Cricetulus griseus: one gene and its partner. The main gene of each other region encodes a partner of the protein of the gene in region 2 in a complex. Links are inferred from orthologs where the notes say so. Each region holds a gene or a part of one and is shown on either strand. Other genes may lie near its edges.

Evidence for each region.
Region 1: Myo7b (region 2) and Cdhr2 share a complex: the UniProt entries of both Homo sapiens proteins name them as parts of the IMAC/intermicrovillar adhesion complex. The link is inferred for Cricetulus griseus from reciprocal best matches to the Homo sapiens genes MYO7B and CDHR2.

Annotation. Positions count from the first base shown.
Region 1 is NC_048596.1:273,734,920-273,738,732, reverse strand, and holds part of Cdhr2 (cadherin-related family member 2), read right to left. Parts: intron 2,838-3,813; coding exon 2,748-2,837; intron 2,192-2,747; coding exon 2,066-2,191; intron 1,991-2,065; coding exon 1,844-1,990; intron 1,760-1,843; coding exon 1,684-1,759; intron 1,595-1,683; coding exon 1,479-1,594; intron 1,143-1,478; coding exon 909-1,142; intron 173-908; coding exon 17-172; intron 1-16. UniProt on the Homo sapiens protein: Intermicrovillar adhesion molecule that forms, via its extracellular domain, calcium-dependent heterophilic complexes with CDHR5 on adjacent microvilli. Thereby, controls the packing of microvilli at the apical membrane of epithelial cells.
Region 2 is NC_048595.1:205,350,289-205,354,607, reverse strand, and holds the start of Myo7b (unconventional myosin-VIIb), read right to left. Parts: upstream 2,918-4,319; coding exon 2,900-2,917; intron 1-2,899. UniProt on the Homo sapiens protein: Myosins are actin-based motor molecules with ATPase activity. Their highly divergent tails are presumed to bind to membranous compartments, which would be moved relative to actin filaments.

The DNA of each region.
Region 1 (3,813 bases), on a different chromosome or scaffold from region 2:
TCTTGGCAAGCCATACCTTCACATACATCACTGGCTTCTTCTCATAGTCCACCATCTCTGAGTTTCTTACCACCACCTGCACACTGACAGACCCTGCCGCTCGCTCTGGGGACACGTTGAAGGCGTCAGCATCTTCGCCGTCCAGGGACAGCAGGAAGGTACCATTGTCGCCCTGTTAAGGAGGGTGGTGTAGTAGGGATTGACCCCCTATGTGTGTCTTTCCCCAGTTGTCAAGCTCAGGCTTTCTGCAGAAGCCCTGCCCAGTGAGACCCACAGAGGGAGTCAGGAAAGACCTAGACAATAATCCAGGCTCAGGAAGTTGGGCTGGCTATTCAGCTCTGTAAATGCAGCCTGGGCAGTTGAAGACTGCCCAAGGCACTGTGGGTCCCCAGGGCTAGAGACATAAGCCACACTCCCCCCACCCCTATAATATTCCCACCCCATCCCAGCCTGTTCCCTCGCCCGTCATCGCTGTGGTGGTTCCTTCCAAGCTGATCAGTCAGATCACTTTAAACACCCACTTCCCCAAACCACAGGCCAGCCAGAGCCAACAGCACCAGTGTCCCCGTGTCCCAGCCACTCACTGTTGCCTAGCACCCAATATCAACCTCCATTCCACACTGCTTCTGCTCAGCACCACCCAGTATTCCCCTGAACGTCGCCAGACAGCACGCACCAACCTCCACTTTGCACGACTCCCGGATCGGCGCCACCGTCCTTACCATCGTATTTCTACGTTTGTTCCCCGTGGACGCCACCCATCATCCTGCATACTCTGTAATCCACTGCCCGTCTCAACTCCAGTCATCACCACTCTCTTTCCCTCCCCCTTCACTACCCCCTTCTCCCATCTGTGACCCCTCCCCCCCATCCCTTCTCCAGCGGTGCTCCCCCTCCCGTGCACCTGCCTGATCTGGATCATAGGCCACCATGGTCAGGAAATCGATGGGGATTCGGGCAGAGGTGTGCTCATCCACGTAGCCTGTGAAGTTGTCTTGGGCCTCTTGGGGGCTGAAGGAGCAGTTTGGGAGGCTGCAGTTGTAAAATTCTGGCTTGTGGTCATTGACATCTGTCACCCTTATTGTGACCCAGATAGTTGCCTTGGCCTCTTGCCCGTAGATGTTACGATGCCCCTCAGTGGCCTGAGGTACAAAACAGAAGGCAGGGGGCAGAGACCAATACTCAGAGAGCGAGGTCTAAGGGCAAGGGTTAGAGACCAATACTCAGAGAGCGAGGTCTAAGGGCAAGGGTTAGAGACCAATACTCAGAGAGCGAGGTCTAAGGGCAAGGGTTAGAGACCAATACTCAGAGAGCGAGGTCTAAGGTCAAGGGTTAGAGACCAATACTCAGAGAGCGAGGTCTAAGGTCAAGGGTTAGAGACCAATACTCAGAGAGCGAGGTCTAAGGTCAAGGGTTAGAGACCAATACTCAGAGAGCGAGGTCTAAGGGCAAGGGTTAGAGAGAGGAGCCTCACTCACGGCCACTTGTATGTGCACTTCTCCATTGTCATTCAGCAGCTGCTCTCTGTCCAGGGCGCCGCTGACCGTGATGACGCCATCTTTCTCGATGCTGAACCATCCGGGCCTTGTGGAGTCTGATAGGGAGGTACTTGCAGCAGCTCTTCCAGGGGCTCTGACCACCCCACCCTTACCCCAGCCCTCCGGGGGACACCCTGCTTCTCACTGGTGATGCTGTAGGTCACATTGTCATTGACGCCTTTGTCAGCATCCACGGCCTCCACCTTCAGCACTGAGGTTCCCTGGGAGGAGGTTTGATGAGTGCATTTGACCCTTTGCTTAGACACTCACTGCTATCCTGCACCCTCACAGTCCCCAGCACATACCAAGGCCGCATCCTCAGCCACAGAGGCTGAGTAAAACTCCCTGACGAACTGGGGGTCCAGGTCCGGCTCATCAACCACTGAGATGGACAGGAAGACTGGCTGGGAGCACAGGGTGACTTGGCTGTTATTCCACTCACCGCCTGAGTCCTGTGGGCGAGAAGGTCTCCTGTGAGCCAGTGCCACAACTCTGAGCCCCCTAGCTCTGGTTACACGGGCACTCACACAGGCCTTCAGCTGCAGCTGGTAGAAGGCACTCTTGTTGTTGTAGCTCAGGCTTTCATTCAACACAATGGAGCCATTTTGCAGAATGTAGAAAAGATTCTTGCTGTCATCATTGCTGGGGATCACCTACAACAGAGGCTACTTGGGTGACACCTGTTCATACACCCTCCTCTGAGAGACATAGGGCCAAATACGGGCTCTTCCATTGGCTAGAAATGCCAATGTTTCCAAGCCTTGTAATCTCTCTGAACCCTGGTTTCTCCCCTTGGCTGATATAATTGCTACGGTGGGTTGAAAGTAAGTTTTTAGTTGGTGTTCAAGTAGTGGTGGGATCTCTAGCAAACCAGCCATCACAAAACACTTGTGTTTTGATTGTCTGGGTGAGCTTTGGCAAGATCCAGGCCTCTCTAGCCTTGATCTCTCTGGGAGCTGTGGATGCTTCAGCATGCGAGAGGCTGGTGGGGGGGAGGACTGGACCCTCCTCCAGCAACTGGGCAAAGTGAGATTTCCCTGTGGAGGGAGGCGTCGGGGTGGGGAAGAAAGCAGAGGGTGATGGGGTGGTCAGAAAGGTGGGGGGGCGGAGCCAGAGCTATGATTGCCTTGAGGATGCTGCCCCCTGGTGGACACGAGGCACAGGGATGCTGGCTCCCACCTGGGGGACCCAGCGATTTACAACACTCACCTTCTCTATGTAGTACCTCACTAAACCTGCTGGCCCAGTGTCCTTGTCCAAAGCCAGCACAGAGAACACCACGGAGCCGACTGGCAGGGTCTGTAAAAAAGGACTTTTCACCTGTGTGTCCATCCCATCCCAGCCCTGGGCTGGGCCTTCAGGGGAGGCATTAGACAATTAGGACAGGCAGCCAGGTGGTGGTGTACACCTTTAATCCCAGCACTCAGGAGGCAGGGATAGGCAGATCTCTGAGTTCAAGGCCAGCCTGGTCTAGAGTGAGCTCCAAGACAGCCAGTCTCGAAAAACAAAACAGCAAAAATAAAAGATGGGGCAGTGCCCTTTCCCCCAAATAACCCTGGTATGGAAACTCCTCCCTGCACAGTCTCATACCCCCAGAGCTGATTTATACAATCTCCCAAGACCACAGTGAAAGAACATGCTAGAACCCAGCCTGACTGAGCCTCTCCACTGCTCAGTACCCTATAGCCCACAGCCTGTGTCAGACTTCCACACTCTTAGCTCCTGGAAGTTCCCCATTCTTCCCAGAATATGGTCCAAACAGTTTCTGTGGCCCTCAGCAGTCTCTGCCGCTCCCCAGCCTCTACCTACCCTCAGCCTCTGAGGCCAGCCTCATCACTCACTTTGCATGTGCTGTTCCCAAACCTGGAACATTCCTTCCCTGGAGATTCTCCTGGCAGGCTCCATGCTATCCAGGTCTCTGTCTAGAAGTCACCCGCTGTGGAATAACCCTTCTCTACACTGTGAACATGTATTACTCTGATTGGCTTAATAAAGAATCTGACTGGCCAATAGCTGAACAGGGAAAGGTTAGGTGGGACAGCCAAAATGAGCATTCTGGAAGGAAGAATGGTGGCGTGAGGAGAGCAGATTCAGGGAGAAGCAAGATGGGCCTGCCGTGCTGAGAAAAGGCACCAAGCCACATGGCAAAGCAGAGATAAGAAATGAGGGTTAATTTAAATGTAAGAGTTAGCTAGTAACAAGCCTGAGCTACTGGCCGAGCATTTACAACTGCTATTAAGCCTCTGTGTTGGTTATTTGAGAAGTGACTGCTGGG
Region 2 (4,319 bases):
TAGTTAGACATGGGGAGGAAGACCTAAGTAAAAATTTCCCATGGTCTCTGGTTCAGTTTCTGCCTTAGGTTCCTGTCTTGAGCTTTCTGTCATGTTTTCCCTTGATGATAAACTGTAACCTGTAAGCCAAATAAACCCTTTCTCCCCCAACATGCTTGGGTCATGATGTCTATTTCAGCAACAGAAAAGCAAACTAGGGCATAGATCCTATCAAGTTGACAACCAATATCAACTATCACACAGACAAAAGGCAATTAAAAAATACAGCAAAGGAAATCTCACATATGATCTTAGGTAACGTAAGAACAATTAGGTCACTAATGGACACATACACAATGGTGGTCCCATTATACCATCTAGTTATAGTAGCTATCTTCATTTGTACAAATGCACTCCATTATGTTTACCCAACGAAATTGTTTGGCAATAATTTCTCAGAAAACTTTGATAAGAGTGGGTTGAGGTCAGGGACAATGGTTCAATGGGCAAAGAGCTTGCCACACAAGCATGAGTACTGTAGTTCCAATCCTTAGTGCCTACATGGCAGTCTGCCTATAATCTCAGTGCTCAGGAGGCAAGGACATGTGATCCCAGAGCAAGCTGCCTAGCTAGACTAGCTGAGTCAGTGAGTTTTTCAGTTCAAGTGGGGGGTGAGAGTCTTATTGGTTATTGGAGTTGGAGAAACCTCTATTGCACCATAAGAAAAAAGCAAACATGTTCCTTTGTCACTATCTTGGCTGGTGATCTCATCAAGATGGAGATAGCCATGTGACTTGGTCACCATCTTGGTTAGTGGTATCATTAAGATGCTGACCACCATGTGACTTTACTGCTATCTTGGTTAATGTACCACATGGGTGGCACCCATAAAGCTTCTTGGTTACCAATGGCCCTCCAGGGATCACTACACCCCTAGAATTTCCTGTACCACAGGCATTCAGTCACATATCCCAGTGCTCTTCCCTAATTGTTTTCTTTACTTTTTGATTTTCACTGTTCTGATGACTACTGGGATCAAGGAAATGGGAGGCCCAGAGGAGACTTCAACACAGGCTGTATTCCAGAGTGGTAGAGTCAAGGTATTTTCATATCAGACTAAAGAGGAAATGCCAGACCTTCATGGTGGCTTTTCTTTGTTTTTGTTGATGATTATGTTTGTTTTAATTATGAGGCATTATTTTACACCACATATTTATTGGTTTCTAGAGAGGATTTAAGAGTGTTCCTAGCCACGTGCTTTCAACACTAGCCAGCACCAACAGGACCTGACACTTAGAGATGTCCAGGCTTGGAAAGTTTCTGTGAGCAACTCAGGAAAAACTTGGGGAGGCACAGGCCCAGCCAAAATCTAAAAGAGATTGCTGGTGCCAGACAAGCTGCTGCTAGGGGCAGCTACAATAGCTGGGTACAAAAAGAAGTCAGCCCGCATGGGAAAGCTGGAGATCCAGGAGATGCTCACCCTTTGTGCCTGCTTGGTCTGCTTGTTACCTCTAAGCCTGTTTACCTCTCCCTTAGGTAGAATAGTCTGTCCCTTTGCTCCATGTTGTCTGTCTGCTTACACCTACCCCATTGAGTCCTGGGTGCTTTGGCTTTTATTTGACCCTCCCAGGACAATGTCATCCCTTTCTAAGTTCTTTTAACTCCAGAGTCATGGTTTTGTCAGGGCTTCCTCAGCTGCAATCTTCTGGATGCTATAACCATCAATTGGATGATGCTTGCTATGTATCTGCTGCTTCTCTCTATTGGCTACTTACACTCATTCAAAACCAGAAGCACGGTAATGACACCACTCTGTACCATATAAAGAGTACCTTGTATTTTCTAAAAGGTTTACCTGGTTACTTACAAAGCCATATAGTTTAACAGTGTGTACACTGGTAATACTAATGTAGTACATTGCCCTAAGTATGTAGTTTGAATTAAGCTTTCTTTTATTAAGGTAGTATTGCATATCACTGTCCTCTGAGGCAAAAAAAATAAAAAATAAAAAAAAATAAGCCATCTCTCTATGTCACGTGAGGGGCTCAGCTATACACAGTTTACTTGAGATCTGAACTTCACAGTACCTGAGAATAAAAGCACACTCCTTCTCTGTTTTACTTTTGAATTATTCTCAGGCTCTAGCATTTTCTGTGTTTCTGGATTCAAACAATTAACAAGCTCTCACTCCACCTCCTACACACGGAGTCATTACCTAGCCAAGCCACACAAACATAGACATTTACAGAGTGGACAGAACAAGGGTTACCCAGGCCCAGGCTTATTCCTACCCTGTTATCCCGGAGCAAGCTCTTGGAAGCTCCATACAAGACAACAAATGGGAACTCCCCATTCCTGCCCCAAGCGTGTAAAGTGTATGGGCAGAGGTGGATGTATGTGTGCGTGCATGCATGTGGAGGCCAGAGGAGAATCTCAGCTGCTGCTCCTCAGGGCTGTCCACCACATTTTTTGAGCTCAGATCTCTCACAGACTGGTACTAACAGACTCAACTAGGTTGGCTGACAACAGCCTCAGAGCTAGGATTACAAGCAAATACCAAACATACCTTGCTCCCCCCCCCCTTTCTTTTATTCTCTTCTTTTTTTTCAAGGTAGGCTCTGGGGTATCAACCTCAGATACTCATGCTTACAAGGCAAACATTTTACTGACTGAGCTGTCTCCCATCTCAGTAACCTCCCTTCTAAATCCCAAAATACAAGTGAGGAATTTCTGTGCACAAGTGGCCACTTGGCAGAGATGTAAATATTAGCCATGATTACTTTCTTCCAGTATTAGAACCCTTCCTAGTCCTCAACCACAGTCCCCAGTTGCCTTCTGGGGTCTCTTTGACTCTCTTCTTTCCTTGAAAGTGATGATTGACTGAGCCTTGGGAAACTTCCACAGTAAGTACCATCCTTACCAACCGGAACACCGACATCCCAGGTCAGCAGCTCCCTGTAGCCTGTAGAAGAAAAAAAAGAATGTCAGCCCCACAGCCTGCCATTGTGGATCCCCTGAAGAACAGGAGCTGTGTGAGTTTGTCATCCTGTCCTGTCCCCAAGTATCTTGACTGGAGCTTGGCTCCAGAAACAGCTCTGAATAGCTGGATGTGTGAGCCACATTCCCAGCCTGTGTACAAGAAGGTGCTTCTTGTCCTCTTCATCTTATGTCCCCTTCAGAGAACACTTGGCTCTTGGCTCTGGATTCCATTCAGGGAGTTTGGCAGTGCCTTATCATCCAGAAGCACAAGTTTTGAGGTAGGGGGAGAGAGAGTATTCCTGAGTGTGCAGGTGTGTGCATGTGCATGCATGTGGAAGATAGAAGTCAAACCTGGAAGTTATTTCTCAGGAGCAAACTGTGGTAGCATGAATGTAAATACACTCATAGGAAGTGGCACTATTAGGAGGTATGGCCTTGCTGGAGTAAGTGTGGTCTTGAAGGAAGTATGTCACCATGGGGGTGGGCTTTGAGGTCTTCTATGCTCAAGCTACCCTCAGTGTGGACATAGACTCCTCTGATGCCTGCAGATCAAGATAGAGGATTCTCAGTTCCTTCTCCAGCACCATGTCTGCCTGCACATTACCATGATGATAATGGACTAAACCTCTGAAACTGTAAGCCATCCTAATTAAATGTTTTCCTTTATAAGAGTTGCCATTGTCATGGTGTCTCTTCACAGCAACAGAAACACTAAGACACTATCCATCAACATTCTTTCTTTCTTTCTTTCTTTCTTTCTTTCTTTCTTTCCCTTTCTCTTTCACTCTTTCTTCCTTTTGTGTATTGTGGTATATGTGTGTGATGAGGGGTGCATACATGTGCCCACATACATGTAGAGACCAGAAGTTTGTGCTGGATGTTTTCCTTGGTCATCTCTACTTTATGTATTGAGGCAGGGTCTCTCTCTGAACTCAAAGTTCACTGACTCAGATTGTTAGTTAGGCAATTTTTCCTGGGGATCCCTGTCTCCACCTTCAAGGACTGAGGTTACAGGTGGACAGCCCTATACTTGTGGTATAGACGTAGGTACTTGTACCTGAATTCCAGTTGTCATATTTGTATAGCAAATTAGCTACTTCTTCAGTACCCACCTTGTTTTTTGAGACAAGCTTTTTGAGACAAGGTCTCTCACTGGAACTTGGAACTCACCAAGTAGACTAGGTTGTCAAGTAGACTAAAGCAGTGAGTCATTGAGATTCCCCTGTCTCTGCCTCCCAGTTCTGGATTACAAGCATGTGCTACCATGCCCACCTAATCCAGGAGTCTAACTGGTCCCATATCTATGCAAAGTAGTCTTCACTATATGTCCCAGGAAGGGCTCAGCTATACACAGTTTGTTT